Oryctolagus cuniculus: one gene and its partner. The protein of the gene in region 1 interacts with the protein of each later gene in a biochemical or structural test. Links are inferred from orthologs where the notes say so. Each region holds a gene or a part of one and is shown on either strand. Other genes may lie near its edges.

Region 1 (3,714 bases):
GGAACTGGGTTCGAGTCCCAGCCTCCTGCCAACGCAGACCCTGGCAGGCAGACGGCCCCCGCCCCCCGCATGGCCCTGCCAGTCTCTCCAGCCAGGGGTGGGGCTTTGGAGCTGAGGCCACTGCCAGGTCAGGGACCGCGAGACATAAAGCTCCCTCTCGGAGCAGCCACCAGCCACCAGCGCGGGGTCCTGCCGCCGCCCCCCGCCCCGGCCGCTTACCCCCTTCTTGCCGGGGATGGCGCACTCCCAGTTCATGAGGTTCATCGTGCCGTCGGGGTTCTTGGTTGGGACAGCCACGAAGCCCTGCGTGGACAAGCAGGGGAGTCCCCGGGCGCTCAGGCCGCCCCGCCCCGCCCGCCCCCGCCCCCGCCCGCGGGCTCTGCTTACAAACGGGTGGTCCTTCCTCCAGGCCTTCCTCTCCTGGGCAAGTCTGCTGAGGGCGATGCCCGACATGTTCCAGTCCTGGGGACACGGGCGCCGTGAGGGCCCCACTCCCACGAGCCCGAGTCACGCCAGGCTGGGAGGGCCCCACACCTCAGGCCGCGGGCGCACGGCGCTGCTGAGGGGGGCAGCCCAGCGCCGCTGCCCCAGCCTGGCCTCCCCCACGCAGGGCGCCTGCGCCCCGGACCCGAGGGCCAGCGCCCTGACCAGGGCCGGCCACAGCGGCCCTCAAGGTCCAGGACCACAGCCCAGGGCCCAGGCCGCCGCGCCTGGACTCCACCAGCTGCTGTCTGCCCCGTCCTCGGAACCCACGGGTGTCGCCCTCCAAGTCCCTGGCTACAGAGCCACTCCACGGCTCACCTGGCACTGGTTAGAGGGGGAGGCTCTGCCCGGGGCGGGCGGCATCCCAGAACCCAGCAGGCGAGAGCCCAGGAGAGCCAGACCTCCACAGACGATCGGACGAGGACCACGGTCCTCGGGCTCCTGAGTGCCGGCGCCTCCGGCCGTCGCACACCGCGCACGGCTGCAGGCTGAGCCCACGGCTGCTCCACTTCCCAGCCGGCTCCCTGCGGGGGGACGCCCAGGGCCTTGGGCCCCTGCACCCGCGTGGGAGACCAGAAGAGGCTCCCGGCTTCCACACGGCCCAGCCCCAGCCGACGGGGCCGTCTGGGCGAGCCAACCAGCGGCTGCGCGACCTCTAACTCTGCCTTGACAATAAATAAACCTTTAAAGAGGCGAAGCCGCCGCCAGGCTGCCACGCCTTCCCGCACCTGGCGCCCCAGCCCGGGCCCCTTCCGGGAACAGGCGTGGCGGCCCGGTCCCAGCACACCTGCCTGTGGCTCACCACAGCCTCCACCTGCACGGGCAGCGCGCGAGCCAGCCCCGGGCGCCCTGGGGTCCCCGGAAGCAGGCAGCACAGCACGGGGCAGGGGCCGGCAGGGGCCTGGGGGCCGCGGGGAGCCCGACGTCGGTCCCCAAGGCTCCTGTGCGCCTCTCACACCCTCCCCGCTGCAACCCGCCCTCCCGAGCCAGCGCATCAGAACTGCACCCCTGCCCGTGCTGGGCCCGAAAGAGCTCCGCCCACAGAGACCCCCGCGGCGGGCGGCGCTGCCCGTCCGGGCCGAGCCACAGGTGCGCACCTGCTCGGCGCCGGGCGCCCGGCCTCAGTCTCAGCACGCAGCCGCGCTGGACAGGTGGGCTGCCGCGGCCCGCACCGGCCGCCTCCGTGGCCCTTCTCGGCCCTCCCGCACCCGCGGACGGGCCCTCTGGGGCATGCACCCCACGCCTCCCTCGGCTGCGCCCGACCCCCGTCCCGGGACCCCCGCGCCCCGCCAGACAAAGGCACAGCGGCGGGCTTGGCCAGCGGCCTTGCGGGAGAGGGCCGGGGCGCCGCGCGGGGCAGGCGGCCCACACAGGCCCCGGGAGGCGGACGGAGGGCCGGGCGCGCTCCGGGCCCCGAAGACGCGCGACCCCCGCGGCGGGGCAGGGGGCTGGGGGCCGCGGCCACGGCCTCACCTTGGCCGGCACGGAGCCGCCCGCCGCCCGTGGCGAGCGGGGCGCTCTCGGCCGCGCAGGAAAACTTCCCTCGGCGGCGGCGGAGCCCCCCGCGCGCCCGCTGGTCCGCAACCGGCCGCTCCCGGCGCCCTCCCGGGCGGCCCCGCGAGCCCCGCGGCCCGAGGAAGGCGCGGCCCGGGCGGCCGCCGTGACCCCGAGGCCGCGCGCCGCCCGGAAGGCCGCGGCGCCCGCCTCGCGCCCCGCGCGGGCCGCCGACGGCCCGGCCCGAGCCCGCGAGGCCCCCCGCCCGGCCCCGCTCACCTCGGGCGGCCGCGGCCCGGCGAGCGTCACGGACGAGCGGGGGCCGAGCGGCGGCGGCGGCGCTTCCCTTTGTCTCGGGACTTCCCTCCGGAGCCCGCTCCGCGCGCAGCCCCGAGCGCCGAGGACCCCGGCGCGGGCGGGGCGGCGGGGCGGGGCCTGGCCCGGGGCTGCCCGCCGCACGCCTGCGCCGCGCGCCGCCGCCGCCGCGCCGCGCCGCGCGCCGCCCGCGGCCCCGCGCGCTCCTCGCCGCCCGCGCCCCGCCGCCGCGCGCCCGCGTCCCGCGTCCCGTCGGGGAGCCCGGCCCGGGGGCGACTTTCCAGTCAGGCGGCGCCCTGGACACCTGTGCTCTTAAAGGAGCCGCGTCCTCGAAGTGAGGGAGCGTCTGCAAACTCTCCTTCGGGGCGGGCGGGCGCACTCGAGGATACGCCGGCGAGCAGCCGGGGAAGGGGCGCGCCGCGTTCCTCAAGGGCTCCCCGGATGCCCGGCGGGCGCGTCTCAGCGCGTAGGTTCCGGAGGTCTCCTTGGGGCCGGGGCCCGGGGCCGGGGGGCAAAGACCACTGAGGCCTACGGATGCCCGAAACGGCGCAGGACGGCGACAATCCCCTGAGTCTGGCGTCCTGTGAAACCCCCTGCAATTGGCCAATGCAGGGGCCTGGGCGGGGCATCGTCCAGATCCGCCCAATCAGCTGACGCCGTACGGAAGGCCGGACGCTCGCCAGACCGACGGGAGGAGAAGCGCCGACGCTCCCTAGCCCGGGGCCGTCCCGCCTGGGGGAGGGGCGCGCCGGGATTCCCGCGCGCGGTCTCGTCCCACGAGCGCGAGCGCGCGGTTCGCGGGTCCGCGCCGTCCCGCGCGGGCACGGCGGGGTCGCCCCTGGGGCTAGGGCGCCGTCCGAGCCGTCGGCGCGGTGGGCGCCCGGGGCCAGGCGATGGGGTCGGCCGCAGAGGGCCTGGAAGGCACTCATTCACGCCCTCCTCCAGGCTCCGCCGTCCGCAGCCTTCGCAGCTCTGGTTTGCCGGGACACGGAACGTGGCTGACAGGCCTGGCGGCAGCGGCGGAGACCCCCGAGGGGGCAGAGACGCCCCTCATTCCCCGCGCCCCTAGGTCCCGGTCCCAGCTTCCCCGCGGTCTGCGCTGGGCTGTGTGGCCGTGGAGAAGCCGCTGGACCGCGGCCCTGGGGTCCCAATGGGCAGGGGTGGGGGGCAGGGCCTAGGTCTGCAGGTGGGGGGGGTAGGGCCCAGGTCTGTGGGGAGGGGGAGCTGGGGGGCCCAGGTCTGCAGGTGGGAGGGGGTCAGCTCAGGGGTCCCGGATCCGCGGTCCTCCACACGGGGACACCTGGGGCAGGGAACCCACCTCAGATGGGCCAGGTTCAAAGGACACACTGAGGCTGGGGGGGGGGGGTGAGGGCCCCGGCCCCGCCTTGGGGGGCAGCCCTCCACAGATCACCCACAAATCCG
Region 2 (3,737 bases), on another chromosome or scaffold:
TCTTAATGACACTGGCTTCCTGGGAGCGAGGAGGTTGTGGCTTAGAAAATGGGCGATAATAGAGCAGCCCGACACCTGTTGCTTGTCTCCAGGGTATTGGGTGCTGTGTACGCTCTGTTGGTAAAAGCTTAGGCTGTGGAATAGGATATAGTGGGTTCGAATCCCAGGGTCCCCGCACGCTCCGGCAAACTTTATACTAAACTCTCTGGCCTCACTTTCCTTAGCTGTTAAATAAGCACCTCCGTTTCCAACGTAGAGCAAAGAGAAAACTACAGAATGTCTGCAAATAAGCCCTGAGAAAGTTTTCACCCGTGTAGGGCGGTAGGGGAGCCATCCCGGTCCCAGCTGCCTGGATTCCTGCTCACTTTGCCACGTGTTCTGCACTCGGCCTAAGTTTTCCACATTTGCAAAACGGGCAGAACATTTAGCGATCGTGATTGGGTCCCGGTGAGAATTAAGCGAGTTAGTGAAGGGCAAATGCTAACGGAACCTGGCACCGTGTGAGCATCGTACAAATTTTAGCTTATTATGGTCGATTTTTTTTTTGGAACCTGGGTTTCAATCCTGGCAGCCGCCACCACTTTCTCGCTCTGTGATCTTGAGCACGGTCCCTCATCTCTCTGCAAGAGCTCATTTCCATGAAGAGAGCCTCAAACAGTGCCTGGCGGAACACACAGCGGTCTTTATTGTTTTCGTTTCGCAAGATACGAAAGGTCAGAAAGGCAGAGTGATTTGTCCGAGGTCGCGCGGCGCCAGGCCGGATTCGAACCAATTTGCAGATCTGAGGACCCTCGGAGGCGCGCAGGGAGGAGGAGGAGGAGACGGAGCTGGGAAGGAGCGGCGTTCTCGGAGCTCGGCTGGCCACGCCTAGGGGGCGTGGCCGGCGGCGAGTGGGCGGGGCGGCGGCCGCTCCTCCCCCGGCCGGGCTGCGACGGCGGCGCGGCTTGCGCTCGCTCGGCGCTCGGCTGGGGCGGCCTGGCCCACAATGAATGGCCGCCGCGGCTGCCGCTGCTGCTGAGGCGGAGGCCGTGGAGGCCGCGGAGGCGGAGGCCGAGGCCCCGGCGCAGGGGGGCGCGCCCCGGGCCCAGGCCGGGCCTCAGCCGCCGCTGCGGAGCCCGCCGGGAGCCCCCGGAGCGCGGCCACGGCGCAGGTGAGGCGGCCCGTCCGGGGCCCAGTTCCGGCCTCCTCCCGCCGGGGGCGGCCCGAGGGCATCGGAGGACCGGCAGGGGGCTGAAGCGGGGAGGGCCGGGGTGCCTCCTGCCACGGAGGAGGAGCCGTGCCCCCGCAGCCTGTACGGGGCCGGCGAGTGCAGGGAGGCCGGGCCAGCCCGGGTGGCCTTGAGCGTCCAGCCCCGGGGGCCGGGCCGGCCGGGCTCGGGTGGGGGGTGGGGGGAGGCGGCGGGATCGGGCCCGGACTCCCCCTCCCGCCTCATTCCCGGCGGAGGGAGGGCCGGATGGAGCCGGGGCAGGTGCCGGGGGTCCCGGGAAGTTGGAGGGCACGAGGAGGAAAAGTGAGGAGGCGCCCCGGCGAGGCCGGAGGGGGAGGGGGAGGGGGAGCCGGGCTCGGGGCCGCGTGGGGGGGAGGGGATCGCTGCGCGGCCGGAGGGGGGCGGGGAGGGGCCGGGCCTGCAGGTACGGTCCGGGCGCCGGGGGAGGTGAGGCGGTCAAGTTACAGGCCTGGGGGCGGCGGCGAAGCCCAGGAAGTGGGGCATGGTGGTGGGTGTGGGCGGAGTTAGTTCGAGTGCGGGCGGCTGGGAGATCCCGGAGATGTTTGCAGGGGGGTGGGGGAGGCGGGTCAGCTGAGGTCAGCGCTCGGAGACCTAGTGGGGTGTGGGAAGCCAGATTTAGGGGCGATCGGGTACGGCGAGGGGGCTCCTGTAGGCGGTTTTTTTGGGGGGAGGCAGAGCCTTTGGGCTAGGCTGGTGGGGATGTGGGGGCGGGTCAGGAAAAACTAGTGTGACCAGAAGGGAGGTGCCCCAGTGTGTGTCCCCCGCCCCAGTGTTAGCTCAGGGTCAAACCTAGGAGCCTCCCGCCCACCGCGGCACCCCCTCTTAATCGGTGGGGCCTCTGCCGACTGTTGGAGCTGCTGGCTGTCCAGTGGGTGGGCGTTTGGACAAGTAGCCGGGGACACGGGTCTGTAACTTACCCAGCTTCTGGTGGCCCTGGCTCCCCTCCCGCCCCATCCAGGGCACAGCCTAGCACTCATCACCCTGGGTGTCTTAGAATCCTGGCCTTTTTTTTTTTTTTTTCCCTTGTGGCCACAGGAGCCTGGAAGCCAAGGTCTAGGAGATGGCAGCTCACAGGCTCCAGTTCCCTGGCCCCCCGGGGTTCTGGGCACCCCCGTCCCCCTCGGTGAGCGTGGGAGGCTTGTGATGGAGTGAAGACAGGTGGCAGAAGAGAGGTCAAGTGAGCCTCCCGGGGGCCACTGGGGTGAGCTCACGGGGCGGGACGATGAGGAAGCCGTGGCGAGGGGCATCGTGGCTTTTCTGCAGGGGCCCCAAGGCCTGAGCTGGCCTTCCGGTGGGCCTGGCTGCTCTGGATTCCCTGGAGAGAGAGAATTCTCCCCTGGCCATCCCTCCCCCGACCTGGCCCCGGGGGCGGGGAGGGGGGGAGGCTGTGTCCTCTTGTGGGCAGACTGGAGTCTCTCCGGTGTCCCACGGGGACTGAAACAGTGGAAGCTTTGTCAGAGGCCTGGTGGCACCGCCTCCTCCCCTTGCCCCTGTGGGAGCCGGGAGGGCAGGGGTCTGAGAAGCGGGATTGGACCGGCTCCGGTTCTGGAGCTGGGCTTTGCTGTGCTCGCCTTGGCCGATCTGTGTGTCCGCGCCCCCCACCTCCCGCCGCCACCCCCACACCCCAGCTTCGGTCTCCGGTCCCACCACCCCGCTCTGACTCTTTCTGGGCTCATTGCAGGGCTGGTAGGGTGGCCCGGGGGCTTTGGTTTGGGAATTTCGGTACCTGCGGCAGCGCTGCCAGGTCAGTGGCGTCCGCCCAGTCGCTCCGGCTTTAACCAGGGCTTTGCTCTAATTCCCCTCTGCCCCGGCCTGGAGCCTGCCCTCCCCTCGGGTTGGCCCCCTGGTTCTGAGGGGTAGGCAGTGAGCCGGTGGCCCCGTATAGCCGCCTTTTCCTTGCCCGGGCTGGCCTGGCCGCGGGTGGGTGCGCCTGGTTGTGGCAGAGAAGGTGGGAGTTGTTCCTACCATGCGTGTGGCAGAAAAGGACCCCGGGGAGAAGGCCCTGGCAGCAGCTGCTTTGCCGGGAGACCCTAGGGTGCTCAGAGCAGGGCCAGTGCAACAAGCAGACCCCACCCCGCCCCCGCCCCCTGCCCGGGACGGTTGGATTTCTGCTGGGGGCTAGGGCAGCAGCCCTGACTAACAGATCCCAGGGCAGCCACCCGCGAGCCAACGTCTGTTCTGGTGCAGCCTGAGACACGCAGAGGAGGAGATGGCATGGGGCACCCATGTTTATAAAGCTGATGGGGCCGGGGGGGGGGGGGGCTTGGCTGGGCGACAGGAAGGCTTCCGGGGCAGCTCAGGTCGGCAGGGGTGGCGCCAGGTTTCAGAGGGGCAAACGTCGCAGGCCAAGGCAGCCTGCCAGCCGCCCGTGAACTGCTCGGAACATTTTTTTCTTTGTGGTCTTCCCCAGGGATGACCCTGGTGTCAAGGAGACCCAGGAAGGAAGAGCCCTTGTGTCTCTCGGTCTCTTGTCTCCCTCCCCCCACTACCCCCAGATGAAAGTTAAACG

Evidence for each region.
Region 2: of the proteins of UBE2I (region 1) and NACC1, one has a biochemical effect on the other in vitro, tested with the Homo sapiens proteins (2 studies listed by BioGRID). The link is inferred for Oryctolagus cuniculus from reciprocal best matches to the Homo sapiens genes UBE2I and NACC1.

What each region holds. Positions count from the first base shown.
Region 1 is NC_091450.1:33,712,262-33,715,975, forward strand, and holds the start of UBE2I (SUMO-conjugating enzyme UBC9), read right to left. Parts: upstream 2,863-3,714; 5' UTR 2,597-2,862; intron 2,414-2,596; exon of another isoform or gene 2,257-2,413; intron 2,110-2,256; exon of another isoform or gene 1,957-2,109; intron 463-1,956; 5' UTR 454-462; coding exon 388-453; intron 304-387; coding exon 220-303; intron 1-219. UniProt on the Homo sapiens protein: Accepts the ubiquitin-like proteins SUMO1, SUMO2, SUMO3, SUMO4 and SUMO1P1/SUMO5 from the UBLE1A-UBLE1B E1 complex and catalyzes their covalent attachment to other proteins with the help of an E3 ligase such as RANBP2, CBX4 and ZNF451.
Region 2 is NC_091447.1:62,530,414-62,534,150, forward strand, and holds the start of NACC1 (nucleus accumbens-associated protein 1), read left to right. Parts: upstream 1-926; 5' UTR 927-1,150; intron 1,151-3,737. UniProt on the Homo sapiens protein: Functions as a transcriptional repressor. Seems to function as a transcriptional corepressor in neuronal cells through recruitment of HDAC3 and HDAC4. Contributes to tumor progression, and tumor cell proliferation and survival.